Elephas maximus indicus: one gene and its partners. The protein of the gene in region 4 interacts with the protein of the main gene of each other region in a pairwise test. Links are inferred from orthologs where the notes say so. Each region holds a gene or a part of one and is shown on either strand. Other genes may lie near its edges. The genes, in order: CPNE2, SOCS7, KIAA0408 and SORBS3.

The links.
Region 1: the proteins of SORBS3 (region 4) and CPNE2 interact in binary tests that used the Homo sapiens proteins (3 or more experiments, as listed by UniProt). The two-hybrid records come from large-scale screens. The link is inferred for Elephas maximus indicus from reciprocal best matches to the Homo sapiens genes SORBS3 and CPNE2.
Region 2: the proteins of SORBS3 (region 4) and SOCS7 interact in binary tests that used the Homo sapiens proteins (3 or more experiments, as listed by UniProt). The link is inferred for Elephas maximus indicus from reciprocal best matches to the Homo sapiens genes SORBS3 and SOCS7.
Region 3: the proteins of SORBS3 (region 4) and KIAA0408 interact in binary tests that used the Homo sapiens proteins (3 or more experiments, as listed by UniProt). The two-hybrid records come from large-scale screens. The link is inferred for Elephas maximus indicus from reciprocal best matches to the Homo sapiens genes SORBS3 and KIAA0408.

The regions. Positions count from the first base shown.
Region 1 is NC_064839.1:24,036,244-24,043,811, reverse strand, and holds the start of CPNE2 (copine-2), read right to left. Parts: upstream 3,011-7,568; 5' UTR 2,391-3,010; intron 1-2,390.
Region 2 is NC_064837.1:45,971,202-45,978,210, forward strand, and holds the start of SOCS7 (suppressor of cytokine signaling 7), read left to right. Parts: upstream 1-3,991; 5' UTR 3,992-4,195; coding exon 4,196-5,160; intron 5,161-7,009. UniProt on the Homo sapiens protein: Substrate-recognition component of a cullin-5-RING E3 ubiquitin-protein ligase complex (ECS complex, also named CRL5 complex), which mediates the ubiquitination and subsequent proteasomal degradation of target proteins, such as DAB1 and IRS1.
Region 3 is NC_064819.1:195,510,250-195,518,091, reverse strand, and holds the start of KIAA0408 (uncharacterized protein KIAA0408 homolog), read left to right. Parts: upstream 1-4,829; 5' UTR 4,830-5,484; coding exon 5,485-5,510; intron 5,511-7,842.
Region 4 is NC_064840.1:52,127,570-52,135,122, forward strand, and holds the start of SORBS3 (vinexin), read right to left. Parts: upstream 3,001-7,553; 5' UTR 2,489-3,000; intron 1-2,488. UniProt on the Homo sapiens protein: Vinexin alpha isoform promotes up-regulation of actin stress fiber formation. Vinexin beta isoform plays a role in cell spreading and enhances the activation of JNK/SAPK in response to EGF stimulation by using its third SH3 domain.

The DNA of each region.
Region 1 (7,568 bases), on a different chromosome or scaffold from region 4:
ATCCTGCCGCCTTTCTGAGGCCACATTCTTCAAGGGGGGGCTGGATTCCTGAAATGTTTTCCTCCTGACTCAGCAGTCCCAGAGTTAGCGGAGGGGAGAGGAAGGGGGAGCTCCATCAGGCCCTGGGCTAGGGGTCTGCTCAGGATGGGACCCTGCCTGGAGAGAATAGTCCCAGCTCTGATAGGAGCAGGGGAATCATTAGAGGGTGATCTTTGTTTTCTGTTCACTCCTTATTGCCCCCAGCTCAAGGTGGAGGGGTGGGAGCACCCAGACCCGACCTGCCACCCATGGTGTTCTCCACACCTGGGTGTGGTAAACTTTTCCACCAGGCTCCTGCCCCTAGAGCAGCCCAGAAGTCACCAACGGGCCAGAGTCAGTGGTGTTTGCATTCTGAGGCTTCTCTCTCCAGAAAGGAAGCAGGAAGGGAGGAGCAGGTTGCCCTGAGAAAATCCCAGAAGGAATTCTGAATGCAGTTACCCCCGTCGGGCTTACTAATATTCCCATGAATAATGATGGTTAACATTTACTGAGCGCTTATCATGTTTTTTTGGTTTTTTTTTTATCATGTACCAGGCATGGTGCTGGCACACAGCCCTTCGTTAGTTAATTTAATCCTCCCAACTACCTTTAAAGAAATATACAATGACCCTAAAAGATTTAGCATGGTACACAGAGTATTGTTAACACTATTGTACAGATGTAGAAACCGAGCTTCTATCCCTGGCCTTCACTCATGCCACTGCTTTTAATTTTCATGGCCTTTTGGGGGATCCCTTGAAATACCACAGGAGACACCCCACTTTGCAGAATGCCTGCCCCCACCCACTGGTTTGAGCCTCCCAGCAGCCCTGCAAGCTGGATTGTGCAATGGTTTGCCTCAATTTACAGATGGAAAAAGCTCAAGCCCATGGGGTGGCAAGGCATGGTAGGCAGGAAGTGGCAGAGTGTGGAGAGACCCAAGTGTCCCCAGGTGTCCACAGCCTTAGCCCCTGGTTCTTCCCATGGAGAAACCTGCCTGGATGACCTCTCCCACCCCAGCAGACTACATCACCCACCTGGGGCAGTCCCCTCTTTCACTAGGCCCCATGCCAGGGGATTTGCAATAAAATCACTCCTTTATGTTTTTGTGTCCAGCTCCCAGGCAGGCAGGCCCTGAGGGAGTAGCTCATTTTACAGATGATGACCCTGAGGATCAGACAGAGGCTGGGTCAGACCCCTGGTGTCAGAGGTGGGCGAGGTCTCCCAAGGGAGGTTCCCCATCACGGCCCCCCACAGGGAGGCTGCAACTGCCCAGGAAGGTTACAACCGGGGAAAAAATGCCTGTTTTCCTTCTTATAAAGGTCTCCCTGGCCTCTGTCACTGAAGCTGTGGATGCCCCAAAGGGCAGAACAAGCTTCCACCCTCAGTGACAGTCCACACCCCTAAGCAAGCCGAAACTAAGGGCAGCCAAAACAAAGGGCGGCTCATTCTCCCAGACCCCTTATCTTTGTCACTTTCTCCAGTACACAAGAGGCCAAGTGAGGCACAGACAGCAAAATGAACCCCCAGCTGGCTACCAGAGCTGGTTCGAGTTCCACCTGTGACTTGACCTTGGACAAATTAAGGCGCCTGTCTAAGGGAGCCCCTCCTCCAAAGAAGAGCTTGCCGAATTGGGGGAGGGGGCCCGAGGCAGTGGATGAGGTGGGAAGAGAAGGGAGGGTGAGAGTGAGATCGCTCTATTTCAGACCAGCAGCGCTGCGGGAACAGAAAGAAAGGGCCTTGCTCTTTCGCCATGCCCACCCATTTCTAAACACACAGGTGCCAGACAGCTTTTGCGCAAAAAAAAAAAACTAGTTTGCAAACACACATCGACTTCTGGGAAGCTTCCCAGCTCCACTCCCCCTCTCTGCTTTCCGTTATCGGGCTAGGAGCTGGCCTTTGGACATTCCCTGAAACAGGGGTGAGGGGAGTACCGAACGAGGGTAGGGGGCGCAGAGAGGGGCCGGCGCCTGCCTGAAGCCCCCGACCTCAGGCTGTCAGCAGCTGCGGTGGCAGCGGGGACGCTACCTTCTAGACGCCCTCCAGGCTTCTTGAGAGAGGCAGGAGGGTCCGTAAAACGGTTGGACTCAGACCCGAGAAGGAGCCACCCTCCCGGCGCACCCCGGCCCCCCTTCCCCCGCAGCCCGGGGGAAGCCGGAGCGCCCCCGCGTGGCCGGGTCGGAGCTGAGTCACCCAAGAGCCCGAGTCCGGATGCTTAAGAGCGGCGGGGGCTGGGGGCGTCGCAGCCCCCGCAGCGGAGCCCAGCTTCCTTCCGACCCGCTACTGCGGCCAAAAGCCGAGCCCCAAGGCCGAACTTGAGCACTTGCGGCAGGGCGCCCCGCCCTCCCCTCGCCCGCCCGGGCCCCACTCACCGCGGGTCCCGAAGGGGCCGCCGCCCTCACCGGGCGGCTGCCGCTACTCGCGCTCCGGGCCGCCGGGGCATCCCCGGGCGCTCCCCCTGCTCGGTCGTGCCCGCGGGCGCGGGACGGGCTCAGGGCGCTATCCGCGCGGCCATGGCCCGCTAGCGTGCGCTCTCAACCGCTTGCGGTCCGATCCTCCTCCCGGGCCGGGCGGGCGACGGCGGCAGCTCGGGCTCCTCCCTCCGGCCGAGGGGGGGGCCGGTGTCGGGAGGGAAGCGGGGAGACAAGGCGCGAGCTTCCCGGAGGGACTAGCGCTCTTCACACGGGCGGAGTGGGGCGCTGTCCTGCCCGCTGCCTGCCTCTCGGCGCCCGCAGCTGGCGCGCCCTGGCACTCTGGGCGCCGAGCGCCACCGGGACCCGCCCGAACGCTCGAGGCTGGAATCCTGGGGGGCGGGACACTCGAGGCCGGGATCCAGGAGCCCGAACGCTCGAGACCGGAATGCTGGGGGCCCGGACGCTGGAGGCCGGAATGCTGGGGGTCCGGAGGTTCGAGGCTGGAACCCCGTGGATCGGAACGCCGAGGGTCCGCGCCCTCCCAGGCCAGCCCTTACGGAGCCTCAGAGCCTCGGACGAGGGAACCGAGGGGTGGGCTTGGCCCAGGCCTGCGGGGGTCCCTCGCCGCCGCCTGAGGCCTCGACCCCGAGGGCAGATGAGCGCAGCCTTGCGCCCTCGGAGATACACTACTCGGCTTTGTTCTGGGCGGTATCCGGTCTCATTCAGACGGCAGTGTTCTCACCCTGCCTCCCCCCTTTTTGTTTCTTTATGCATGTCCCCCCCACCCCATAGCAAAAGAGCTCGGCGTATTCTTGCCACCAGGGGCTGGGAAGATGACACATATTTCTCTGACAGAAGATAACAACGGTCGATCAGAACGGGGCTTAGAGCTCTCCAGTGCGAGGGCAATTAGACGGGTCTTTGAGGCCCTGAAGCCTTCTGTGAAGGCCTCTTTTTCCCTAGAAGAGGCACCCATTCTTAAGAAATGCCTCTGTTGCTTGGCGCGTTTGCTGCTGGCCACTCGGAGGTATTTATGTGCCCAGGGCAAGTCCAATGCGAAAGCGTCAGACAGCCAAGCCTTGTTTAAGCTGATTGCATGGGGTAGGGGGTAGGGCTGTTCCGAGTTGCCCAAGGGTATGACCAAAGCACTTGGCCTTGGGGCTTGCAGACTGGGCAATTGAGAGTTAACGCCTAGCACGGTTTTATCTTGGGTTTTTCTTTCTGGGCAGATGAGGGTTAACATGGGAGACTCACACTGCGGGCTGCAAACCTCTTTCCACATCTGAGTCACAGGCACTCTGCAGTCTTAGAGGGGCAACCACTAAACAGCCCCAGGGCTCTGAGCTTTGTTCTCTGCCTGTCTGTCCCCGGTGACTTCCTTTCTCCAAGCTCTCCTCTTTCTTTCTCTCAGATTCTTTAGCCCAGCTCTGGGGCAAAAACCCACCTATAGGCGTTCTTAGACCCAGCTCCAGCCTCACTTCCTCCAGGAAGCCTTTCCTGATTGTTCTGGCCCCAGAATTCCTCTCCTCTCCTTGTTCCAGCAGTAGGAGAGCCAGGCACAGGGGCAGGCAGTGGCGAACCCAAACAGACTGCCACCTTCCCTCAAGTTGCTCACCTCTATGGAGCGAGACGGGGGTTCAGGCAATCATACTACTGCATGAAAAGTGCAAAAGTTGGAGGTGGGGTGGCCCAGAAGCACAGAAGACCCGGCTCAGCCATGGGAGTCAATGAGGCTTCCTCTAGGAGACCTGAAGGATAAGAGAGTTGGCCTGGCTAGGGGCAAGGTGATACTAGATCCCTGGCCAAGGGGACAGAGTGCAAAGGCCACCCGTAAACCCATAGCTGTTGAGTCGATTCCAACTCACAGCAACCGTATAGGACAGAGTAAAACTGTTCCATAGAGATTCCAAGGAGCAGCTGGTGGATTCAAACTGCCGACCTTTTGTCCACTCCTTGGTATCTACCCAAGAGAAATGAAAATGTGTCTATACAAAAATTGTACATTATTCACAATAGTCAAAAAGTGGAAACAACCCAAATATTCATCAACTGATGAATGGATAAAAATGTAATATATCCATACAATGGAATATTATTCAACCATTAAAAGGAATAAAGTACTTGTGCTAGCTGATGTTATGCACCGAGCTGGCCAGGCCATGAGTCTCAGTATTATGTAATTATCCTCCATTTTATGATATAATGTAATCACCTCCAAGGTGAGATCAGCCAATCAGTTTTAAGGGGAGTTTCTCCAGGGGTGTGGCCTGTACTATATGTATATGTTCTGGAAAAGCTCCTTTGCTTGCTCTGGATCCTGTTTCTAGCTTGTTATCATCTGACCTCTTGGTCTCGGTACTTGAACCAACAGCCTGTTGTCTGATCTGCTGACTTTGGGATTTGCCAGGTCTGCAGTCCTGTGAGCCAGCAGCCTACTGTCTGACCTGCCGATTCTGGGTGTGTCAGCCCCTGCAACCGTGTGAGTCAGGAGAAACCTCCAGCTGATGCCTAACCCATGGACTTTGGGACTTGCCAGCCTCCACAACCATGTGAGCCATTTCTATGAGATAAAATTCTCTCTCTATATATACGTATATATATATATATACAATTTACTAGTTTTCTATAGAGAACCCAAACTAAGACATTTGGTACCAAGGATGGTTCTAAAGAAACAAAATTACAAGGATGAGTTTTCTAAATTGTTCTCAAGTCTGACTAGTCTTAAAGGCACTGATGACTCTGTCTCCAGTAGTAAAGAGGGCACTGCTAATCCGTGGAATGAGGTGGTGATATTAATACAGAAAATATCACTACCGATAGATCACATATCAGTTAGAGGCAAGAATCTGGATGAATGCATATTTGATACTTTTCTACAATTTTGTCAGAATGAATTATACAGAAGCTGGTTGGTTGGTCCTACTTTCACTAGACAAAGTGGTGAAAGAAAGAGATGAGCTGAAGGCTTCAGAGTCAAAACTCAAGTGCCACATAAAAGACGTCAAAGTTGCCACTTGTGCCCTGAAAGAAAGCCTTATGTCTTGTAGTAACAGAGTTGATATTGCCGAAAACCAGACCCAGAGTCTTATTGTAAGAGTGGCTGAATTACAGTGACAATTTGAATGGTGTCTGAAGTTAAAGTGAGGGTGTTGACTGGGAAGAAATGGGATCCTGAAACTTGGGATGAGGACAATATGATTGATAATCAGGGAACTGGAGACATCAAACCCCTAAATTCTGTTGAATCACTCCTGCCAACAGAACAAGCCCTCCCATCTGAAGAGATTACTTCATCTTTGTCAGCTAAGCCACCTTCCCCAGGAAAACCATTATCCTTTTCACCCTCATTAGACGAGATTAACCCACCCGTGCCTGAAGTGTCTTTGTCTGAGATACCACCTGGGGTGGCACCTGGGGCATTGCCTGGGGCATCGCTGAATGTTCCCAGGACCCACCCACACCACCCATTTTTGCTTCTAGGCCTATAACTAGGCTTAAGTTCCAGCGAGCCCCAAAATGTGAAGTACAAAGTGTGACCCAGGGGGAGGTACACTACACTGCAAAAGAACTGCTTAACTTTTCTAATTTGTACAAATAGAAACCTGGGGAATATGTGTGGGAATGGCTATTAAGGGTGTGGAACAATAGTGCAAGGAACATAAGGTTGCATCAGTCTGAGTTTATTGATATGGACCCAGTAAGTATAGATCCCTCATTCAATGTTTCAGCTTGAGAGGTTAGAAAAGGATCTAATAGGTTTTTTTTTTTTGTTCATTCACTGAAGCATGGATTAAGCTGTGGCCTACACTAAATCAAGTTGAGGGGCTAGACCTGCCTTGGTATATGGTAGAAGAAGATATCCAAAGGCTTAGGGAAATTGGCATATTAGAGTAGATTTATCAGGTTAGACCCACAACGCATCCATGGAGTGCCCAGAGGACACAGCTTTTACCATAATGGCGAGGGAAAAAATTGTGAAGGGAGCCCCAGCATCCTCGAAGACTGCTGTGAATGCTATTTTATGTACATCCGATTTGACAGTGGGGACTGCCCTAACTGAATAAGACACCTAATTACCATGGGATTGATTGGACCCCATGGTGGTAGAGGCCAAGCAGCAGCACTTAATCAACAAAGACAAGGTGGGCGTGGTTACCATAATGGACGGCAGAGTCAAAGCAGTAATCAGAATTGCCTGACTTGTATGGGCTTGTGGCATTGGCTACTTAGTTATGGTGTCCCCAGGAGTGAAATAGATGGAAACCTACTCAATATTTACCTGATCTGTACAAGCAGAAGAATTCTAGGTCAAGTGAACAGCAGTCTACCTTGAATTGCTAGAATAGAGAGTCATAACCCTCAATCAATTTCCAGACTTGAGCTAGTTTTAGACCCACAACTCCTTGAATGAAGGGGAGGCCAGCTTCCCTTGAAGAAGCACCCTACTAAACTGTCAAAAATTTATACCATTGATCTTTCTCCCAGCCTTCCCCAAAAGGATCTATGGCCTTTTATGAGTGACTATTCATTGGGGAAAAGGAAATAATCAGATCTTTTGGGGATTACTGGACACTAGCTCTGAACTGACACTAATTCCAGGAGACCTGAAATATCACCGTGGCCCACCAGTCAGAGTCGGGGCATATGCAGATCAGTTTATTAGTGGAGTTTTAGTGGGTCCAGTGGGTTCCTGAACCGATCCTGTAGTGATTTCCCCAGCTCCAGAATGCATAATTGGAATAGACATGTTCAGCAACTGGTAGAACCCCCACATTGGATCCCCGACATAATAGTAAAGGCTATTATGGTAGAAAAAACCAAGCGGAACCCGTTACAACTGCCTCTACCTAGGAAAATAGTAAACTAAAAACAATACTGTATTCCTGGAGGAGTCGCAAAGATTACTGCCACCGTGAAGGACTTGAAGCATGCAGGGTGGTAATTCTCACTACATCCACAGCCGACTTGTCTATTTGGCCTGTGCAAAAAACAGACAGATCTTGGAGAACGACAGTGGATTATCATAAACTTAACCAGCTGGTGACTCCAATTGCAGCTGCTATTCCAGATGTGGTTTCATGGCTTGAGCAAATTAATACAACTCCTGGTACCTGGTTGAAACCCTGGTGGCGT
Region 2 (7,009 bases), on a different chromosome or scaffold from region 4:
TGAGTTCTCTTCTACTTCCCCCACCCTTTGATATCCAGATCACTGAGTGCATGTAGGAAGGAATGGATGGTGTTGCTGAAAACTTCTCATGCTTTATAGATGGCCTCTGCAAACAACAGTTCTGCTGTGGAATCCTAAGTGTGAGGATAAGGGCTGGGGTTAGAGGTCAAGCCCCCAGGAGAATCCCTGCTATGTCAGAACTAGAAGGGCCCACAGTCCAGGCCTTTTTCTAATAGAAAGGAAACTAAAACCCTGAGAGGAAGGTGACATCCCACAAAGCTAGTGACTGGCACGCTGGGGATCTTCCTTGACGTCTCTGATTCTGTGTCTAACAGAGACAAGGGATGAAGAGGATTCAGTGACCCAGTCTACCTTCCTGCTATTACTGCTTATTGGTAGTTGAGGGTCAACAAAACACTGGGTGAAGATATCACACTAAGTTAACACGATTTCCCCCTCCCAAAAGCTTTTCATAATATAGTGAAATTTGTGAGAGCTGGAACTTGATGGGACTGCCTTGTTTTTTCCGGGTCTTGAAAGTTTTCCACCTTTGACAGGGTGCAGTCTTGCCACTTTTCTATCCCTTGTTTTAGTGGAAAATATTTGAGTTTTCCTTCTCTGACTGGTTTCCACCTTACACAGGTTACAGCTTTCACAGGTTTACCGTAATCATGACCATATGTATGGTGTTTTAGCATTTGTTAAGCACCTTTACATATAATTTTTCATTTAATCCCAACAGCCCTGTAAGGGCGGGGGGGACTATTACTGAACCACTGTTACAAAGGAAACACAGATACAAAGATGTTTAATTATTTGCTCTTGGTTATACATCCAGGAAATGGCATGATTAGGACTCAAACTAGACTGTGCAAGCTCCAGAAAAGCAGAGACAGTGTCCATCTCACTTATCACTGCACCCACAAACCATAGCCCACTGGGCACTGTAGGTGCTCAATGAACGTTGACTGACTGAATGAACCTCAGAACTTCTTTAGATTCTCTAAGTTGTTTTTCACGCATCTTTCTGACTAGGATCCTACCGCTGCTGGGACCACTTTACAGCCCTTAATGAAAGTGGTATGTATAGACATAACAAACACACATTTAAGTCATAAAGCACAAAAATACACTTCCTTTGCTTAGAGCTTAATTTTCAATGCTTTTCCCAGGACCTGGGCTACAGGCTGGAAAATTAAGGAAATGAGAAATGCCGCATTCTTTACTCAGCCTTTGAAAGAGCCCGTGTGTGTTCCCTGGTGGTGCAAGTGAAGGTGGTGGACATAGCTTTCTTCTGCGGCCAGGGAAGCAGTTGGACAGGAGAGGGCGGTGCAGAGCCAGAAACCTTGCCTTTTGTCAGGGATTCTGTTCTTGGGCCAGAGCTTCCCAGAGACAGTCCGGGATCTTAGGTAGCCTCTTAGGCTTCAGGGGTTCTGAGATCCTACAGCAGTTGCTCTTCTTTTCTGCTAGAAACCTAAGTAACACCTGACAGGTAGCAGGGGAGGGAGGGTAGAGAATGAAATCTGTGGAGTCAGAGTCAGGCAGAGCTGGTTTTGAATTTTACTGCACCTTTTTTTTTGTTTGACCTTAGGTAAGTAACTCTTTGAACTTCAGTTTCTTCATGTGCACGGAAAGATATTCTGTTGTGCAGAATTAGACATGAATTTGTATCAGGAGCCTTTTGCAATGCCTGAAGTTGAACAACAGCTCCATACTTACCTATCAACGGCCTAATCTGCGCCAGGCACCGTCTTTGACACCAAAGGCTCCATGATGGGCAAAAAACAAATATGGCCCTTGCCCTCATGGAGCATATAGCTTCATAAGGAAGACAGACTCTCATCAAACAACCCCATGGAAAGAAAATAAATTGTTGTGGTGTGCCTTTGAATCGATTCTGACTCATATTGACCCTATAGAACAGAGTACAACTGACCCATAGGGTTTCCTAGGCTGTAGTCTTTACTGAAACAGATCGCCAGGTCTTTTCTTCTGTGGATTGGCTGGTGGGTTCCAACCTCTGACCTTTTGGTTAGCAGCTGAGCCCTTTAACCATTGCATCACCAGGGCTCCTTAATGACAAATTACACCTGTGCAATTAAATGCGACAAAGGAATGGTCTCTGAGCTTGGTGAGGAGGAAGTGCCCAGGCAGGATTTCCCTGAAGAAGTAAGAAGGGAGTTCAATCTGAAGAATGAATGGGAGGTGACTAAGCAAAAAGAGAGAAAAACCTTCCAAGAAAAGGGAACAGCTTGCGCAGTGGCCATACGCCTGGGAGCCCGACACAAGGTTGGTGGGACTGCAGGAGAGAGATAACAAGGGGGAGCTTGGTGGGAGACATGGCGAGAAAGAGGCAGGGGCCACACAGGGCCCTGTAGGCCGATTTAAGGAGTTTTGTCTTTATCCTAAGAGCAATGGGAAAACAGGAACTGTTGTAATCAAGGGGTATGAATAAATTTTCATTTTGAAAGTGTCCCTCTCGCTGCAGGACTCAACCCTCTTCCCCTTGCTGCGCCCCCAGGTACTTAAGTTGCTAAATTCTGCTGATCCTTCCTGCCTGCTTGCACTCCTCTTCATCTCTCACTGGGACAAGTGCAGTGGATTCCTGACTGCTCTCCCTGCCTCCAGTCCCACCTCCTTTACCCAACAAGCTTGATCTTCCTTAATCCTTGTAACATTCCTGCAAGTAAGCAAAACAGCAATCTTTATCTGTTTTACCGATGAGGAAATTGAAGCCTGGTGGTGTTCGGGAACCAGCCTGTAGCATTTCATGAAAGCCAACTGTTAAATTTTCAGAAATTCTTCAAGCTGGTTGTTAAACATAGCCACTATAAAATTATATAAAATTACAATGAAATAAATTAAATTAAAAAATAAAGATGATAAATTCTCAAAACTCACCACTTACTAATTATTTTACTATTATCTATGCTTTGGGGTTATTTATATCCGTTGTATGGTGGCACTATTATATAATGGTATGCTATTTGCTCATTTCTTCCTAACTCTGTTCAAAAAAGTCAAGCTGGTAGCTCAAAAGCAGCCACGGTGGGCGTATTTATACCAGGGAAATCAAACAGAGATACAAATCGAGCTTGATTTATTGTTTTGTTGATTATCTAGATTGAAGCAAAGGATGGAGAAACTATTAATCATTCAGATTTAAACACAGTATCATACTGAATTTAAACATAATGTCATGTTAAATTTAAACATAATGTCATATGGTAGCTGTTACATTGTGAATGGCACAGAAATTGAGGAAATCTTCCTCCTGTATTTGAACCCTTGCTTTCTGATTCAGCAAGGCGGCTCCCATCACTGACAATCCAGTCATTTTTTTCTCCACTTCCATTAACACAGAAGAAAATGTCAACCAGCATTCACGCTACAACTATACTCCTTGATCAACTGCAACCATAGGTTGGTTACCCATTGCAATTGTATGTTATTTCTCAATTTTATACCACACATCCTTTATATCAGTAAAATTTATGATGAACTTATATACCTTTGTATGCATACACTCCTCCACCAGAGAACCGGTTATTGAACATGATCAGCACACCCCTGGGTCTAGAACACATATATTCATGTTATCATTCAACAAATATTCATTGGCGGCCAGGGGTGAGGAGTGAGGGAACGGGGAAACAAATTTACGATGAAGTGACTCGGCCAAGGTCATACATCACAAGCGACATAGGCTAGACCAGAACCAGAGGTGTTCCCAAGGCCAGCGGCTCTCTGCCGTGACCAGACCAGCCTTGCAGGGCCGCTGCACCTTACTGAGAGGGCTAGGCAGAGCCCCAGCACCCGGGAAGTGAAAAGCAAGGGTCGAAGCAGACGACCAACAGCCAGCATGGAGGCAGCTCACGTCCAATAGCGGCCCGGGTCGCCCGCAACGTCACGCGCCGTGGAGGCGACGCGAGCACGCCCTCGAGGAAAAAGGCGTGCCCACGGCCTCCCGGAAGTGACGCCATCGGGGGGCGGTCCTCGGTGGCGGCGGCGGCGGCGCGCGTCCTGGGCTCGCGCTGCGCTCCGCGCGCCCCCCGCCCCCCTCTATGAGGCAGAGGCCGCGGCGGCCGTTCGCGCTGTCTCTCCGGGGGCCGCGGCGGGCGGGGCTCCGGCGGGGCCCGGCCTAGTCCCCACCCCAGCCCGGCTCCCAGCCGCCCGCCCTCCCTCCCTCTCCCCGATGCAGGGGGCCGAGCTCCGGGATGGCGAGGCGGCGGCGGCCGCTTCGTACCGCGTCCTGAGCCGCCTGCTCGGCTATGGAGAGGCGGCCCCGGAGCCAGGCCCGCCGCCGCCGCCCCCCGGCCATGGCCCCCAGCCACCACCTTTCCTCGCGCGGCCGGGCCCGCGGGGCTCCCGGCCACCGCAGCTGATGGTGTTCCGCAACGTGGGTCGGCCGCCGGAGGAGGAGGACGCGGAGGCGGCCCCGGAGCCCGGACCCTCGGAACTGCTGTGCCCCCGGCACCGCTGTGCTCTGGACCCCAAGGCCCTGCCGTCGGGGCTGGCGCACGAGCGGACCTGGGGCCCGGCGGCTGGACTAGAGGCACAGTTGGCGGCTCTGGGGCTCGGGCAACCGGCGGGGCCGGGGGTCAAGATGGTCGGTGCGGGTTGCTGCCCGTGCCCGTGCCCCGCGCAGCCGCCCCCTCCGCAGCCTCAGCCGCCTGCTGCCACCCCGCAGGCCGGGGAGGACCCCACGGAGACGAGCGACGCGCTGCTGGTCTTGGAGGGCTTGGAATCCGAGGCCGAGAGCCTGGAGACTAACAGCTGCTCGGAAGAGGAGCTCAGCAGCCCGGGCCGCGGAGGAGGAGGGGGCGGCCGGCTTCTGCTGCAGCCCCCAGGCCCCGAATTACCCGCCGTACCCTTCCCGCTGCAGGACTTGGTTCCCCGAGCGCGCTTGAGTAGAGGGGAGCAGCCGCAGCAACCTCTCCCGCCCCCGCCGCCTCCGGGGCCCCTCCGGCCACTCGCGGGTCCTTCTCGGAAGGGCTCCCTCAAAATCCGTCTCAGTCGCCTCTTTCGTACGAAGAGCTGCAACGGTGGATCCGGCAGTGGTGATGGGACCGGCAAGAGGCCTTCTGGAGAGCTGGCTGCTTCAGCTGCGAGCCTGACAGACATGGGTGGCTCTGCGGGCCGGGAGCTGGACGCGGGGAGGTGAGACCGCATGGGGAACTGGCTGACAAACTTCCTTTTCTTGTTTCATTTCCTCTTTTTTTCTACTGCTAACAGGCGCTCTGCCAATTCGTAAGATTTGGTGTTCTGGAGGTGGCAGAGACTTAGGGCTGAAGATGGTGACAGCTTCCATTAGGTCCCTTTGGAACTGGTGGAAATTGTGGGAACAACTTTAACCCTTGAGTTCACACCTCATGATGTTTCTCAACTGACTAGCAAGGTTTGAGTCTGGAGATGACTTGAAACCATGCACCCACCCCGTTTCTTTTTCTTTTTTGCTTTTCCAAATTGGGTATTACAATTACCCCTGGTAGGGAGGTTGCTGTAAACGTTTGGCCTTTGGGGCAGAAAGCTGGTGTTGCATGTTGACCGCCTTGCTTGTTATTCTGTCTGTGTACCAGCACTTCACCCCCTTCCTCACTCATGCATACAGATGAGGGGATGAACTTGGGCAGTTGTGGGCCAGTAATCAGTTGGGCATCTCTACTCAAAGTTAATGCTTTCTGGCTGTCCCAGGCTTTTGTGTGCTGACCAGTGTCTGTGAGAATAGAGAATAGGTTTGTTCTCAAGCCCATGTGAGAACTCTCAGTATGAGGTATAGACATTAGTACGTCAGCTCTAGGGCAATTGATGAAAATTCCAGACTTAGACATTGAGCTGCTTGTTTTCCTGTGTTTCTGAAGCGTGGACTGTTCTCACACATCCAGTATTGGTTTAGAAAGCTGTCAACTTTTGTGTCGATGAAATGAGACTTCCCTTGTGGTAACTGCCATTGTGGTTTGTGCTTTTGGATGGGTTCTTAGATTTGAATTGGTGTTGGTGTGGCTTATGTGATAGATTCCCGAGATGTCTTGGCAGCCACAAGCCCGGGCTAAATAACAGGATGAATAAATTGATAACCTTACTGTGCAGTAGAATCACTTGGGGGGGGGGACTTTATGAGATCAGTATGTCTAGGGCTCAAGAATTTGAATTAAAAAAAAAAAAAACCTCCCAGTTGATCCTCCCCAGAAGTATGACCTGGACTGGGAATCACTCATCCATGAAATTCTCTTTTCAAGGGAACTTGGGTCCTCCAGGAGGAAGGTGTGGGGTTGATTTGCCTCTGTTGCTCCTTCTGAACAACTGTGCCCTGGGCTCATTCTGGGTGTCAGACCAAACTCAAACTCCCTAAAGAAATCGGTAGGTCGATGCTTGTTGCCGGTTCAGGTAGGCCAGTATTTCTGCATTTGCCTCCCACTGAACTCATGCTGGGAGCTCAGGTCTTGAAAAGTGTGTGGCTGCTGCAATAGCTTTTTTGTGGTAGGCTCTGCATTTGATGCTCCACTCGCCAGTGGGGATGAAATTTTCATCAGATCGGGGGAGGATGGGATTGAAGCTATGGGTAATGACATAGGTTAGATTGCTAATTTTCTTGTGGTTTGCATTGCCTTTGTTCCATATTGACCAGGACTTGGTCTAGGATTCTAGAGACTCCAAATATGAGGTGTGACGTGAAATTAGCTGCTACGTCTAATAGATTAGGAAGAGGAAAAGGCATATAACATTATACGGTTTTTTGCCTTTGGAAGCAGAATTTAATGGTCATTGGTTGCTCTGTCACCAACCTTCATATTGAGCACAATACAGATGTCTGCCGCAGAGCAAATTGGGCTGTAGCTCTGCAAAGAAGCTTAGTTCAGGGCACTGGAGAATTACATTTTTTGGTCCAGGGGCTTTTTCTGATGAATTGAAGAAGAGCTAGGTATTTGTGTACAAACGTTTGGTTGACTGCTGTTAGGAGCCAGCATGTTGTGTGGAGAATATAAATGTCCAGATTCCATTTGGAACC
Region 3 (7,842 bases), on a different chromosome or scaffold from region 4:
CAAGATTGTTGTAGGCTACTCAGGATATAGGCAGGCATACTGCAGGTCACATTTCAGGCATCTTCAGAGTTGTTTTAGTTACTGAGAACAAGGATTTTTCTGACCCATCTTTGAATCCCTGTAGTCGCACATTACACCTGGGACAGAGATGGTGCTTACAAATGCATTTGTTAATAGATGTTAATTGAAGTGCCAAGACCTCTCCCTAAAAATTTAAGATTACTTAAATTTCAAGACAATTCCACTAAACAGCTGAGATCATGTATCTTTACCCACTGCCATGGACTCAATTCCGACTCACAGCGACCCTGTAAGACAGAGTAGAACTCCCCCGTGGGGTTTTACCAAGGAGTGGCTTGTGGATTTGAACTGCCAAACTTTTGGTTAGCAGCCAGGCTCTTAATGACTGCACCACCAGGACTCCTATCTTAAAGTACTTTGAAAATTGCAAAGGGAAGACATTATTCTAAAAGATAGGATTACTTAAAATATAAGTCGCTTACAATAGTCTGTTAGCTTTAATATGCATGAGTTCAATTGTTCAAAAGTAATTTTTTTCTAATGTTTTGAAGATAGAAATAGAGTACCCCCCTTATTGGTAAATATGTTTAAAGAATAAAGGAAGCGTGACTGAAAAACTATATAAGCAAGAAGTTAGATCCATTTAGCCTCACACAGAGTTAAAGTGTAAAGAGATTAAATATATAACTGTTTATGATGCTTCAGGATCATCCTTCAGACAGAATATTATAAATTAAGTGCTTACTGGCAAAGTAGCTGCATTTATCACCAGATTTTTTCAACCACCCACTTAAAATCCTTTTGTGTCTGTAGTTTGACCCAGTATTTATATTAGCCGAGGACACAAGCCTCTTTAGGTAAATAGTAACCAGGACACATACTCTGCTTTATGACTCCTGTGTTATACTTGGAAGACAGCATAGAGTATCATCTCCCTCATTTGGACTTAGAAGAAAATGGAATTTTAAATTTAACAAAGCCAGAAATCAGCCTCTCACTGTCTCCTCACAGCCTGAGTTCTATTCCCTTCTCTGGAACTCCTTGGAATTTTAAAGTTCATGGCACTCCACTAGGAATGAGAAGACCTGGATTCTATTCCTGGCACTGCTAATAAGTGGCTTTTTGACCTTAAGCAGTTGACTTAACATCAGGGCCTCCTTCCTTAGCTGTAAAATGAGAAGTTTGGCTAGATGACTTCAGAGGTTCTTTCTGACTCTGAAATTCCACAAGTATGGAAACACTTGATAGTGACATTTATGAACTCATAATCTCTCACCCTTTCCAAAATATTTTCTTTGTGGCTTAATATCATTAATAGAGAATTTTTCAAGCCCCTTTCCTGAATTTTCTTTTTTGTTTCTTAATGACATCTTGTGTTTCTGCATTTATTTTTCACTAAGTATTCTTAGGTACATTTGTTTACATATTTGTTGTACATTGAAATAAAATAAGCATGTCATCAGGCATAAATGTTTTAATTCTTTCTGAAACAGAGCAATAATTTAGATCAACTTCTGTTTGAAGGTTTAAAAGTTTAAATGGTTTAAAATTATCCTGGATTACACAAACAAATTGCATTTTTCCGTAAGGATTTCAGCCATTCTGACAGCTGCCTGAAAATGTCAGGAAGTTCAACATATCTGAATATCATTGTAGGGCTGAGTTTATAAGCCTCAGTCTTTAAATCTATTCATTTTATGTATATAACTCTAGGAACTTATAACAAAGTTTTTAAAACAAAAGTTTTTAGGGAGAAGATTGAAAAACACCTGTACTGAATATTTATTGCTTTCAGATCCTGTCTTCTAACTGGGTTATTTTATGACTTCCTTTCAGTATGAAATATAGCATGGAAATGTTAGATAATATATAAAAAAGAATTATTTAACAACCAGTGTTGGTAAGTGTTAGAATAAGTGGTAGATTTGGAGTAAAATACTTGTCAAAGCCTGCCCTTAGTTTTTGATTCTATATACAGTTTAAGATCAACTTTACCAAGAAGCAGATGAAGCAGATGCATTAAAGAACCCCGAAACATGCTCAAAAAGGACATTAAAATATCACCATTTAGTGACAGTGTCAAGAATGGCCCAACATAATGTCTCCTATAATTTAGCCACATACTACCTGGGTTTATGATGGGATTTGAAAAACAGCCTTAAATAGATTTATAAAGAATACATAGAGCTTAAAAGTTCTGGAATGGAAGAGAAGGTAGGAGGAACAATGCGTAAGTCTGCATCGATGCTGTTGGAGAACCCACTGTCCCTCCCCCCAGGATCTTCCTCCTTTCCAGGTAAGGGTGGAGGCAGAAATGAGCACATATTTATTGTGTTCCTAGCACTGAATATATTCCTTCATATTCTTACAACAACCTCATGAAGTAAATGTAAATGTCTCCTTACAGGAGAAACCGAGGCTCAAAGATCACACAGTTACGTGGTGGCAGTAGAACTGAAACTAAGATCTCAAAATTCCAAGGAGTTAATTACAGTTAGAGAAATGGGTTCCGAGCCCTACTCCACATGGGTGCGTTTCTATGAACTTTGGCAAGGTACTTCTTTAAGCCAAGGTTTTATCAATAAGGTGCAGTTAATAATAACTCCAAACAGTTGCTATGAAGGTAAAATGTGATAAAGATCTAATCTAAGTACTTAGCACAGAGCCTCAAAGAGAGTTGGTCCTCAATGAATAGTCACTATTATTATACATGTATTAAAGTCCTACTGTTTGCAGATTGGAAACACTGGTGCCATAGTGGTTAAGAGCTACGGCTGCTAACCAAAAGGTCAGCAGTTCAATTCTACCAGGCACTCCTTGGAAACCATATGGGGCAGTTTTACTCTGTCCTATAGGGTCTCTGAGTCGGAATCAACTTGGTGATAACAGGTTTTTGGTTTGGTATGCAGATTAGGGAGCCCTGATGGCACAGTGGTTGAGTGTTTAGCTGATAATCAACAGGTCATTGGTTGGAACCTACCGGGTGCTTCCCAGGAGAAAGATGTGACAGTCTGCTTCTATAAAGGTTACAGCCTCAGAAACCCTGTGGGGCAGTTCTCCTCTGTCCTACAGGGTCACTATGAGTTGGAATCGACTGGCCGGCAGTCCTTTTTTTTTTTTTTTTGTATCCTTTACTCAGTTCCCCCCAATGGTAAAATCCTGCAAAAGTATAGAATAATATCACAACCAAGATATTGACATTGATACAATCCACGAATTTTGTTCAGATTTCCCCAGTTTTACTTGTACACATTTGTTTGTGTGTATGTTTCGTTTTATTCAATTTTATCTCATGTAGGCTCGTGTGTCTACCACAACAATCAAGATACAGAACATTTCCAAGGATCTTTCCTGTTGTCCTTTCATAGCCACAGCCTCTTCCCTTCTGCTCTCCCTGTCGTCAATCTTGACAACCACTAATGTGTTCTCCATTTCTAAAATCTTATCCTTTCAAACACATTATATAAATTAGATGCAGTATTTAATCTTTTGGGCTTGACTTTCTTCACCCAGCATAATTCCCTGGAGATGCATCAGGTTGTTGCATCTATCAATAGTTCACTTCTTTTTATTGCTGAGTATTGTTCATTGTGACGCAGTAGTTAAGTGCTTAGCTGCTGAAACCAAAAGGTTGTTGGTTTGAACCCACCAGCCACTCTTCGGGAAAAAGATGTGGCGATCTGCCTCAAAGATCTATAGCCTTGGAAACCCAGTGGGGCAGCCTACTCTGTCCTGTAGCGTTGCTATGAGTCCGAACTGACTGTGGCAATGAGTTTTTGAGTTTGAGTGTTCCGTGGTATGGATGTGTCACAGTTTAACTGTTTATCAATTGAAGGACATCTAAGCTTGTTCTAGTTTTTTGGCTATTGCGAATAAAGCCACCAGGGACATTCATTTACAGGTTTTTGTGTGGATGTAAGTTTTCATTTGGCATCTCATTGTTCAATTAGCATTTCCCTGATTACCAGTGAGGTTGACGAGCTCTTCATATATTTATAGATCATTCATGTTTCCTCTTCTGAGAAGGGCCTATTTTGCTCGTTTTGCTATTGGGTTGGGTTTGGTTTTGTGCAGATTACTATTTTGACACTTTTTAGCCTCCCATAGAGTAATTATCTTGAAGCAGGCACAGATGTGAAAGTGAATATATAATGTTTTAAAGATCACACAGAGGAAACCATTCTGACTTGAGTATGTTGTGAGGTGCTATCAAGTTGTTTTCGACTCATAGTGACTTGAGGATAGGACCTTATTATTTAAACTTTACACAGCATATTTGCTGAATTAGATTTAAAGTAGCTGTAGACTTTTTTTTTTTTTTTATAGACTTACCCTGGTGGAGTAGTAGTTAAGTGCCACGGCTGCTAACCATAGGGTCAGCAGTTCGAATCCGCCAGGCACTCTTTGGAAACTCTATGAGGCGGTTCTACTCCGTCCTATAGGGTCGCTATGAGTCGGAATCGACTCGAGGGCACTGGGGTTTTTTTTTATAGACACTAATCGAGAAACAAGTACACAAAACCTAGAAATGTTCCTGGGGAGGCAATTCTAACATTTCCATGGTAGGCCAATTTGGTCATGGCTCAGGAAGCCTTTCCACACATTTGGGCTGCCTTGTTTTCCTGTTTTGGCAGTAGCACACCTTAGCTGAAACAAGCACATGGGTACCTAGTTTATTCTTTCCTCCCAAAATAAGCAGTATCATCCCTTGCCATGGTCCTGATTTCTTCTAACCTAAAGACATCACCATCATTGTACATACAGGCAGCTATAATAGACTTCATAAAGAGCTATGAAGTCAGTCTTTATATATGCCCCATTCGTATTTTATATAAAGACAGAAGTTTGTTAAGCTTTCAAAAATCTTTTGAGACACACACACACAGAAATTGGTGCGCATGTTGTTCTGCTGTGCCCAGTGGTAAACTCCTATCGGCACTGAAGAGTGCGTCCCAAGGCTAGCCAAGGAGGGGAAGGTGCGAGGTATGTCAGGAGGGGTGGATTCTTGTCTCTAAAAAAAGGAGTTTACTTTTCCTAATGAGAAAGCTAAAGTTGGCCATTGTCATTGTGTGATATTAACACCAGTCCTTCTGGCAAGTTTGAAAATACTGGGCTCCATTATAAAAGTTAAAAATGTCCTGGACCTGGAGTTGTTTACCCAGAGCGTGAGCTGCTCTAAAGTTACAGAGCTCTGGTTGGAAGAGGTGGCTTGAAGGCCGCCTCCGAGTAACTGACGTCACAGCAGTTTCAGCTGCTGCTGTGACACTGAGCTGAGCAGCTTTTTGATTTGCGAAGCTTTCAAAAGGACTTGTCAGTACTGCTCTGTTGAATGGTTGTGCTTATTTAGCATTCCCATTTCTTGTAAAAAGGCAAGATTAACCGAGCTGAGACTTTTCTCTTTAGGATAACTAGCTATCCTTTCTACTTCCTTCCATTGCTAGATTGACCAGTGGTCGAACGTGCATGGGATTTTTCCCCACTGCGAACAGGTATGTTTTCTTTCTGGAAGTTAGAAACCAAGTGCCTAATTGTGGCAGAATATAGAGGGGTAGCTGACGTGTTTCAAAATACGGGTACTGTTTGAGCTGAGGGTTATTTCAACATCTGCCTGTGTCTCTGCGTCTGGTTTTAAAAACAGCGGGGCGGGGTACATAACGGATTGTACTGACTCCTGGGGACGAGGCGATTCAGCTGCTGAGGGTGGATTTCCCAATTCTGTACAGAGTGCCGTCTACTCTCTGAGCTTGTATTTTTCAAACGCTGCTTCTCAGCACTTCGAACAATACTTTGTACACAGATTTCACTCAATATATTTATTAGAATGAAGAGTTTTTTTGAATTTGCAAAGTGACGTGTGCAGCCCTGGAGATTGCTGGTATTTGGAAATCGCAGTTAATAAATAAATAAATGTAGTTTTATCCAAGTTTTAAGAGTTTGCTCATTGCATGATGACAGTTTCTGTAATTCGAGTGCCATTCATTATGGATTAATCTCCTGCAGGTAGAAGGGAACCATACCATCACATCTTCTTTTGTTTATGCTCATTAATTTTAGCTATTTGTTTTCCCAAGACAAAAGCATCTTTCAAAACTTTTATTTTATAAGCTAACTAGAAGTAAAGCTAGTGCCCCAACAGCTTGGGTGTTTTCTACTTGGAGTAAATAAACAGGAGAGAAAAAGAAGGAGAAGACAATTAAATGAGGAGGCAAAATTGATTTCTTTGGAAATTCTTCTGGTAGTGTCTGCTTGACCTTGTTTGGAACATGAGGAACATGCTGAAATTGCAATAAATAATAATAAAAATGTTTCCTTTTACCCAGTAACAAAATCTAATCATGGTAGTCTTTAGAAGGATGCATTTGCAAACAAAAGGGGAAGAACAAGGTTGGTTAATTAGTTGAAATGATGCAAATGATTTATAATATCCTGGAGAAATGGCAAGAGTATTTTGGAGGGAAAAGGTGCATTACTCCAATGGATATGGGCATGGGAATCCCTAGTTTAAAGTTAAGCAGAAACAGAACCTGCCCAGGGCAAATGATTCCTCCAGGAATTGTAAGGTTGGCAGCCCCTAGTGTTTGGCATTTTTATTGGAATATATATAATCATCTACATTTGAAAAATCTTCAGTTATATGAAAAGTAATATGTTTAGAAAAAGGAAATAAGAGAGCAATAAACAAGTACTAGGGAAAAAAAATCTCAAAAGCGAGACGTAGCTATTAAAAAAAAAATTAATAATTTTTTTTTAAAAAAAGCCTTCCCTAAAACTCTCTTTCATTGTTTGGCTAACATTTAGTTTTCAATGGAGAAGATGGAGGTCAGAATGGTAACCATGGAGACATAGTAAGAATGAAGCACCCTTCAGATGAAAGACTTAGCATGACCAAATTGAAGCTGATTTGGGGAATGAAAATAATTTGTCAGAACCCTGACTATGTTACTCTTATGTTTTGCTCACTGGTAGGGCCAGAGGTTAGCAGACTGACTGTTTTTCTCCCATCACCATACTAACTCAACCCACTCACAACTCTTTACAATTCTGGCTTCCAACTTTGGGGAGGGGGAGGTAGGTTAAAAGGAACTACTTAATGCCAGCATATAGTTGTCGTAGACTACTTATGTAGTTCACTCTGTCCTTTACACATTAGCTCTAACAAATTTTTATTCTGAATGAAATTCTAAAAGTAATGAAATGGAGAATGAAAGCGACATAGAGGGTAGGGCACATAGCAGAAATCCTTCTTTCTCTCCCACATAGATGCCGATATCTGTGGGAGAAAAAAGTGGCAGCTATGAACAAAGAGAAGGGTTGTGTTTGCCTCCGTAAAGAGCACTGAAATTGAGTTTTTGTCTGCTGGACCAATTCACCCCGTAACTTTTCATTACAGAACATTCTATTCCTACAAAGATGCCCCTTCAATTTAATATTTTTTATATTTAACATAGCATTATAACAAAAGTAGCTTTTTAAAGATTTGTCTATTCAAATTTTTGCTAACAATAAAAAAGCTGTTCTCTAAATACTTGCCATGTATCCTTAAAGTACTTGAAAAATACTGAGGCCAAAGGAAAGTCATTGGAAATAAAAGAGATTTCAAACAGGTGAAGACTTGCTTCTATAAAATTTCTAATGAAAGATCAGCATAAGTTGTGTTCTAGGGAAAGAAAACATTGAGGGAGAGGACAAATAAAGGGAAGGAGGGAAGGAAGATAGGAGAAAAGGAGGGAGAGAGGGGCATGATAAGAAATCAAGAAATGGACATTTATCGAGCACCCACTGTGAGCCAGAAGAGTGTTAGCACTTTTACGGAGCATTATG
Region 4 (7,553 bases):
GGGGAAAACCTTGGGAGGGGGTTGGGGTCAGCTGGGTGGGAGCCCACAGGACCCAGGAAACAGGCCACTGTGGGCACCCGCCTGCAGGCTGCCTGTGCCAGCTCCCATAGGCACAATGGACTGCTTGTTAGGCCCTGGGCAGGAGCTCCTGGTGGGAGTGGGGGTGGGGGAGGCCTGGGCAAGGAGGAGGGAAGGCTGGCCAGGAGCAGGCTTGCTGGACAAAGCCTCCTTGGGCATGCAGGTCTGCAGGACCAAGCTCCGGCCTTCGCCCTGTTGGGCAGCCTCTCTGGGGCTCTCACTGCATAGCACAGCCTGCTCCCCCAGAGGAAGGCAGAGGGGAACTGGGGCAACTGGCAGAGAGGGGTAGGGGGATATGAGACTTTGTTTCAGTTCCCTCTGCCTCCCCCAGTCCCTGAGTGAGCATCTGCTTGCCAGCGGGCACAAGGAGCAACTCAGGCCAGGGGAGAGGCCCTGGCCAACAGCAAGGGCACCGCCCACTGCCCGCTGGGAAGCAGTGGTGGCACCCTAAACCCGAACAAGGCCAAGGTTCCGGGGAGGGGTAGAGTGGGGGGCATTTCCAGGCAGCAGGAACCACTCCTTCTGAGCTCAAAGGGAGTATCAGCTCCATCCTTTATCTCCCTTCCCTCAGACTGAGGACTCAGAGGTTCAGCGTGCAGTGAGGAGGGGGTGGAGAGAAGTAGCCGGTGAGAGGAAAGGTGGACCTGGAGGGTATTCCCTGGTGCTCTCTTGCACATGGTCACACACACACACACACACACACACACACACACACACACACACACACACACACACACACTTCCTCCTATGTCTTCAGACTGATTGTTGGATGGAGGATCTTCCCTGGCCAGCCAGGTTCTACTGAGGTTAGGTCAGGGGTAAGGGGCTCCAGGCATTCAGGAGATGGAAATGGAGGAAGGGAACTCAGAGGGGTGGGTGGAAGAGGACAGGGAGGAGGTTCTCAGGTCAGGGTGTCTAATGAGGCTCTTCTACCCAGAAACTGGTGTGGAGGCTGTCCCACCTCACCTTTGCTGTTGGACTGGGCCACTACCTTCTGGGGCCAGACTAGTTCTGGGCTTTTTGCTCAGTGTGACTGTGTGTGCCTGTGGGGTCGGTGGGGGTTCATGGGGAGGGCAGCCAGTGGGATGGGAATGGAGGTGGAGTGATGTGGCTCTGACTTGTGGGGGTGCCACCAGTGGGGATCATGTGAGCAGCATGGGTTGTGGGTACAGAAGGGAGTCAGCTGAATTGTATGTGGGTGTGTGTATGCAGTGGGTGGTCATATGAGCAGCACACGACTTGCGGGGACCAGAGGAGATGAGGGTGCATAGGGGCTGTGACTGGTTGTCAGGCCTTGGGGGGGGTTGGCAAGGGTACAGACAAAGCTGGGGGCAGCTCCTTGTCTCTGGTCTGAGTTTGGGGGGATTCCTTCTGACATTCGAGCAGTGGCCTGTTGGGGATCTAGCTTTTCCGTGGCTGTGGGGAGTGGAGGGCTGAGACTGGAGGAGGGGCAGCTCACCAGCTGGATCCCATTAAGACTCCTATCAAATGCGAAACATGCAGACACATCCTAGTTCCCCCACTGCTCTCTTCCTTGTGGGGAAATTGAGGCAGAGGAGAGTGGGAGGTCAGGAGGCCCAGGACAGGGTAGGTCCAAGCAGGGACCCCTCCCTGTCCAGCTGACTGCTTGAGGCCAAGTTGCCTGGTCAGCATCTGCAGTCTCTGCCCGTCAGCTGACCAGACTCTTCCTTTCCCAGCCTCCCCATTCCACTCTGTACTCAGTGACAACTGCCCTCTTGTAGAGTGGTGGATGGAGGGCAGGAGGTGCCCCCCAACCACTTGAGTTTTCAGGGGTTGTTGACCCTTGATGCCTCAGCCTGCCTGCCACCCCACCCCCATCTGGCCCAACCTTCAGGGATAGACAGAGGTGGGGATGGGAAGGGTAGTCTGAGTTTTTCTCCTCGAAGCCCTGCCAGGAAACATTGGGGAGGGCTTTTCATAGGGACGATGAGGCACCCAGGGGAATTGGACCTGCATCTGGCAGAGGACAGAGGGTGCCTGGACATTTCTGGTGTCCTTCCAGAATTCATCCAGCCCCTTTCCTTCCAAACAGCCAGCTCCAAAGAGCTGGAAGAGATGCGGTACTTCTACTTCGGCTGGCAAACACCTTCCCATCTCTAAGTGCTGCTTTGACCTTGGGGTCTTGGCCCTACGCACTTTTCCAGGTCCAGCTACAAGTCCACGTGGACTTCTCAACTTTCCCCTTTTCTGGATTGACGGGAGGGAGGAACTTCCAAGCTCTTTCCACCTCAGTTTCCCTGAGTTTGGGACGCCCAGCCTCTGAGGACCCCAAGGGGAGGGGCTCTACTGCCTTCCCTTTGGGCTTGGCGCGGGGCAGGGTTGGCTCCCTGGTCTCTCCCTGACTGCGGCCTCCGCCTCCTCTCCCGCCCCTCTCCATGCCGGCACCTACCTTCCCCGGCGAGCAGGTGGCGGGGACTGAGACCGCCTGGGAGGGCAGGAGCATCTCTGCTCGGCTCCCGCCTGGCGCGGCCGCTGCGGGCCCTTAGGGAGGGGCCCGGGAGAAGTCCGAGATGTGCTCTCTCCCCTCGTGACCGGGTCAGGACAGGGCTCCGAGAGGCTGGGCGCACGAGGAGGAAGAAGGAGGCAGAGGCAGTGAGCGAGCGCGAGCGCGCTGGGAGGCAGGGGACGTGAGCTTTGGCAGAGGGAGGGCGACCGGCGGAGTTTGTGTTTCCAATCTGGACTGTTTGCGGAGGGGTGGGGTGGGGGGCCGGCTACTCCCTTTCCCGCCTCGCGGGGCGGGGGCTCGAGGACAGCCCGCCAAGGGCGTGCGAGTGCCCTCCGTCCGGGCTTTGGCCGGGCGCCCCGCGGGGACGCTGGTGGCTCCTGGCCCAGGAGGCCGGGCCGGCCGGGAGGCGGCGCCGGCAGGAGCCACCCGAAGGTCCCCGGGGAGCCTGCTCTGGTTTCCCAGCTGCCTTTCCCCGGCCCCCACCGCAGGGCTGGCGTCGGACAGGGGGCGGAGGAGCCAGCAAAGGCCACTCAGAGTTTCCAGCGACACTTCCAGCTTGTGGGAAGGGAGCGGCTGCACAGCCGAGCCAGGACAGGGCAGGAATGATTAACAAGAACTAGCCCTGGGCCCCAGGGCCCGAGTCGAGCCAGCAGCTGATACGGAGTCCGCAACCTCAGAGAAGCCCGAGACGGGCCAGAGATGAAGACAGGCTGGGACCAAGATAAGCCGGAGAACGCCGAGGGCCTCCCAGACAGAGCTGCAAAGCGGAACGAGTTAAGGCCTTGGAGAAAGATTTTTGTGCTTGCGTAGACACGCGTCCGGACGTGTGCAAACACACACACACTCGCCTGCAAACATGCCGATGCTCACACACGTGCAAGCACCGAGGACTGCCCGGGGAGAAAGTCAGCCTGAGGGAGCGGCCCACTGGGCGCACCACGCCTCTATAGGATGAGGGTGGGGCCCCTCTGGCCGGGATGGGGTTAGGAGGGTCTTGGTGTTCCCATACGCCGTATTTATTTTGATTTTGTTGCTTTTCCGCTGTTCCAGCTGCTCTGGCACAAGCCCCAAGAGCCCCGCCCATGGGCTCCCTGACCTTTCTGGCTACGCCACCCCTCCCCCGCCCGCCCTGTTTGCACAGGGTCTGTTGTAGAAAGCGGGGATGCTTAATGAATGCTTATCGATAATGGAAACAGACGCTGGAGTACTTCTAGCTCTTGGCTTGGCTGTGGGACCCCAGGCCCCAAACCAACAATCCAACAGTAACTGAGCAACTCCACATACTTTTTGGGACAGAACAATGACAGATTTTGAAAACATGTAAACATGGACCGCATACCTACTGGGTGTAAGGTTTGTACTCTGAGGCCACAATACACCTTGGAGTACTTACTCAAAAGTTGAGAGTGGGGAAGGGGATGAACAACTTTCCACCTTTACCATCCTGAACGTTTTAGCTTTATATTTTTTCTATGCAGTTGAAAGAGCTCAATCAGGATGCCCAGAATGAGCGTGAAACAATGTCCCATAGAAAACAGCTGAAAGAGATGTTTAGGCTGAGGGGATACTTAGGAGAGACAGGGCATGCTGGCTATCTTCCAGTACCTGCAGGGTTGCCACGTGGAAGTAGAGTGGTTGCACTGTGGGTCTAGGAGCAGAAGTGGGACCATTGGGTGTAAATGATAGGGAAGCAGATCCAAGGCTTCCAAGGAAGAGTTTGAGGGGAGGCAGCCGTGCCTTTTCCCTCCCCTAAAACTTGGATACTTACCACCCCTAGGTACTATGGGCTTCCTCCCTCAGGGACAAACTATGTGCTCATTTCCCTTGGAAACTGTGGTGGCATAGTGGCTAAGAGCTATGGCTGCTAACCAAAAAGGTCAGCAGTTCGAATCCACCGGGCGCTCCTTGGAAACCCTATGGGGCAATTCCACTCTGTCCTATAGATAGGGTCGCTATGACTTGGAGTCGACTATTCGAGTTGGAATCAATGTTCCCTAGTCACCAGTTTTTCCTACCTGTCAGGGTCCGTGGGACTAGAAAGGACCACATCACTTTCATTTTTTTCCTTGTTCTCCAAAGATGGTGACGCTGAAGATCTTCCAACTTTGGGAATCCTGGCCATACCCTCTCTCCCCAGGAGCAAGCTTCCTTTGCTTTCTAGGGCTCTGACCAGGACTCCAAGATAAATATTTAACAGAGGTTGCAGCTGAGCTGACAAAGGTCCCAACTTCCTGTTTGTCATAAAGGGAGGTGGCAGCCATCGGTAAGGAGCTGGGGACTGGCTACCACTTTCATCACTATGGGAATAGGGAGTCCAGTAAACAGCTTTGCAAGAGGAGGCGGGACAGGCCCAGGTGGTGACCTGAGCCTTTTTCCTAAGCTGCTTTGACTTTTGCCTGTCTCGCTAGGCCCCTGTTCCGGGCTTACCACCTTCTCTCTCAGGTCAGAACCTGCTTTGCCCTGGCACCAGTGGACACTCTCCTTCCCAGAGTCTTAGGCTCTCTGTTAGACAAAGGAGGGTCTATGACCAGATCCCCCCATTGTGTTCCATGGTGCCCATCTGACCTCACAGAAGAGAGGATGAGAGATTGGTGGGAGCATAGCGCAGGAAAGACATAAGGAACTGTGTGGCTAATTCCTCCTTTTCTGCCCATATTTAGGGAGAAAAATTCGTCTCCTTGGAAAACTGTGAATGATGGGAAAAAAAGTAGCAAGGTCCAGGGATTCAGCCAAGAACCAGGTATCTGGTGGGCAGCTCCTGTCTGGAGGTTAGATGAGAAGGCAGAGGGGGCAGGAGCTGGTTGAATGGACACGGGGAATACAGGGTGGAGAGGAGGAATGTGCTGTCTCATTAAGGGGAGAGCAGCTAGGAGTACATAGCAAGGTGTGTATAAGTTTTTGTATGAGAGACTGACTTGATTTGTAAACTTTCATTTATAAGCACAATTAAAAAAAAAAAAAAAAAAGAACCAGGTGTCTGATTTCTCAACTTCTCCCTCTAGCTTCAGCTCTACTTGCTGCTGGCCTAGCTCCACAGCAGGCATCTTTCTAGGGAGAGACTGAGGATAGGGAAGGTCGTCCTAGATAACATTAGCTGTTGTCAACAACAGAGCAGATTCCTTTCATCCCAATGTGCTATCTCCTGGGCAGGATTCCCTTATATCTTTCAACAGGGACCTCCCTCCCTGTGAGTCGGCCTCTTCTCCACCTATGGCACTGCCTTTTGTCAGGAGGCTCCCTCTGCCTTCTCAGAGCCACCTGAGCCAGAGTAAACACAGTTACATAACTGCTCTGTTTCCCTAGCAATCTGATCCCAGTCACCAGTATTCTGTCCCCCACCTCCCCACCCCTTAGGCTGCCGCCTTTTGTTCTGTGGATTATCCCCCAGTAGCGCCCATGTCAACAGAAGTCTGTCCATTCTCACCACTCTAAAGGACCATTAGCCAAGAGACTGCCAATAAAGGATGTGGCTCTTCACACGGAGGGGGAGAAGAGGGTGGCTGTTCATACAGAAATGAAGGTCACTCTGAAAACCAACCTCTGTCGCCAGAGAAAGGATGAATGGAAAGAGCACTTAAGTAGCTTTTTTTGTAACAAGGAAGGTCAGGTGAGTAGGAGAGAGCAGAGAACTCAGTTTCATTTCTCAAATGGGAAAAGGGAAGCAAGGGATCCCAGAAGACGTAAACCTGGACTCTCGTTTCTTGGGGAGTGTCTTTATCCAGGGCTGAAGTCTAGCATTCATGTCACACTGCTGAGCTCCACCCTGCTCAACCAAGAGGCTCCCCAGCTCTGTGCCTCAGTCCCCCGTATTAGATAAAGGAAGGGCAGACGAGCCCTGGCATATTCTTCAGTTAGGCTTTGAGCTGGTTTCTCAATTGTGCTCTCAGAAAAGTGTTTTCTTCCTGCCAGGGGAACTCAGCAAGTAGACAAGAATGGGTTAGGAAAGAAAGTGCTGTCCCTTTGGAGGAGTTTGGTCTTCTCTGGAGGGGAGGTGAGGGACTGAAATAAAGTCATACCAGATGTACGAGCACAAATCTGGACTGTTTCACCCCCTGGGCTCCTTTCCTCTCTCCTGGTCCTCCTCTGATTCTAGCGCCTGCTTATGTTGCCAGCCAAGTTCTATTGATGCCCGTTGTCTGTGTCAGCCACTCATGGGAACAGGAGACGGCAGAGGAGGAAAGGGCTATTTCCAAGCCTGGCCCATCTGGAATCCAAGTGTTTTGGGGGTAGTCACTGTGAAGTGAGGGATCTCTGAGAGTGAAAAGCTACACAATACAGGTCAAGTATGTCAGTGTTAGGCCAGCCAGGATGAGTGCGTGGAAACCCATAGGAGTAACATTATGAGGCTTTCAGGCCTGCTTTGCACAGATCTTTCCATAGCGTTCGCATGCTGTAACAGGCATCTATTCAGGGTTCTCAGAGTCAATCAAATCCAAACCCTGAAGGCTGTGAGAGAGTTCAGCCTGTTGGCCAGTGTATCTAGCTTATCCCCAAGGAAGCCTTTACACTGACATCACATCAACGATTGGTCTCTCTCTTCCTCTTTTTATAGATGAGCAAACAAGCACAATGTTGTTGCCTTTGAGAAGAACTGAACTGTATGAACCGCTTTTAGTTCTCAGGCAAGATGGAAACAGCAAGTGGCTGTCAGCTCTTTAGACAATAGATTTTATACGAGAAGGATAAATGAGTGATGACCTCAGAGGGAAAACCCAGCCAAGTCAACTCAGCCACAAAGAAGGGCACAGAACCAGGAGTTGGAAAATTAGGTCTGCATCATCCTTCTTTCCTAGCTCAGGTATACTGAGATAATAAGACAAGAGGGCTAATGTGTTGACTAGTGGATACCATGAGGTAGTGCTTTGGCCTCTAAACAAAGAATAACCTTGTCTTCCCACCTCCTTGAATTCTATGATGAACCTTTTCCTTAACTGCATCAACATTAAAGAAAAGACTACCTAATTGGCCATTAAATTCTTAATCCCTTGTATCAAAACAAAACATACTT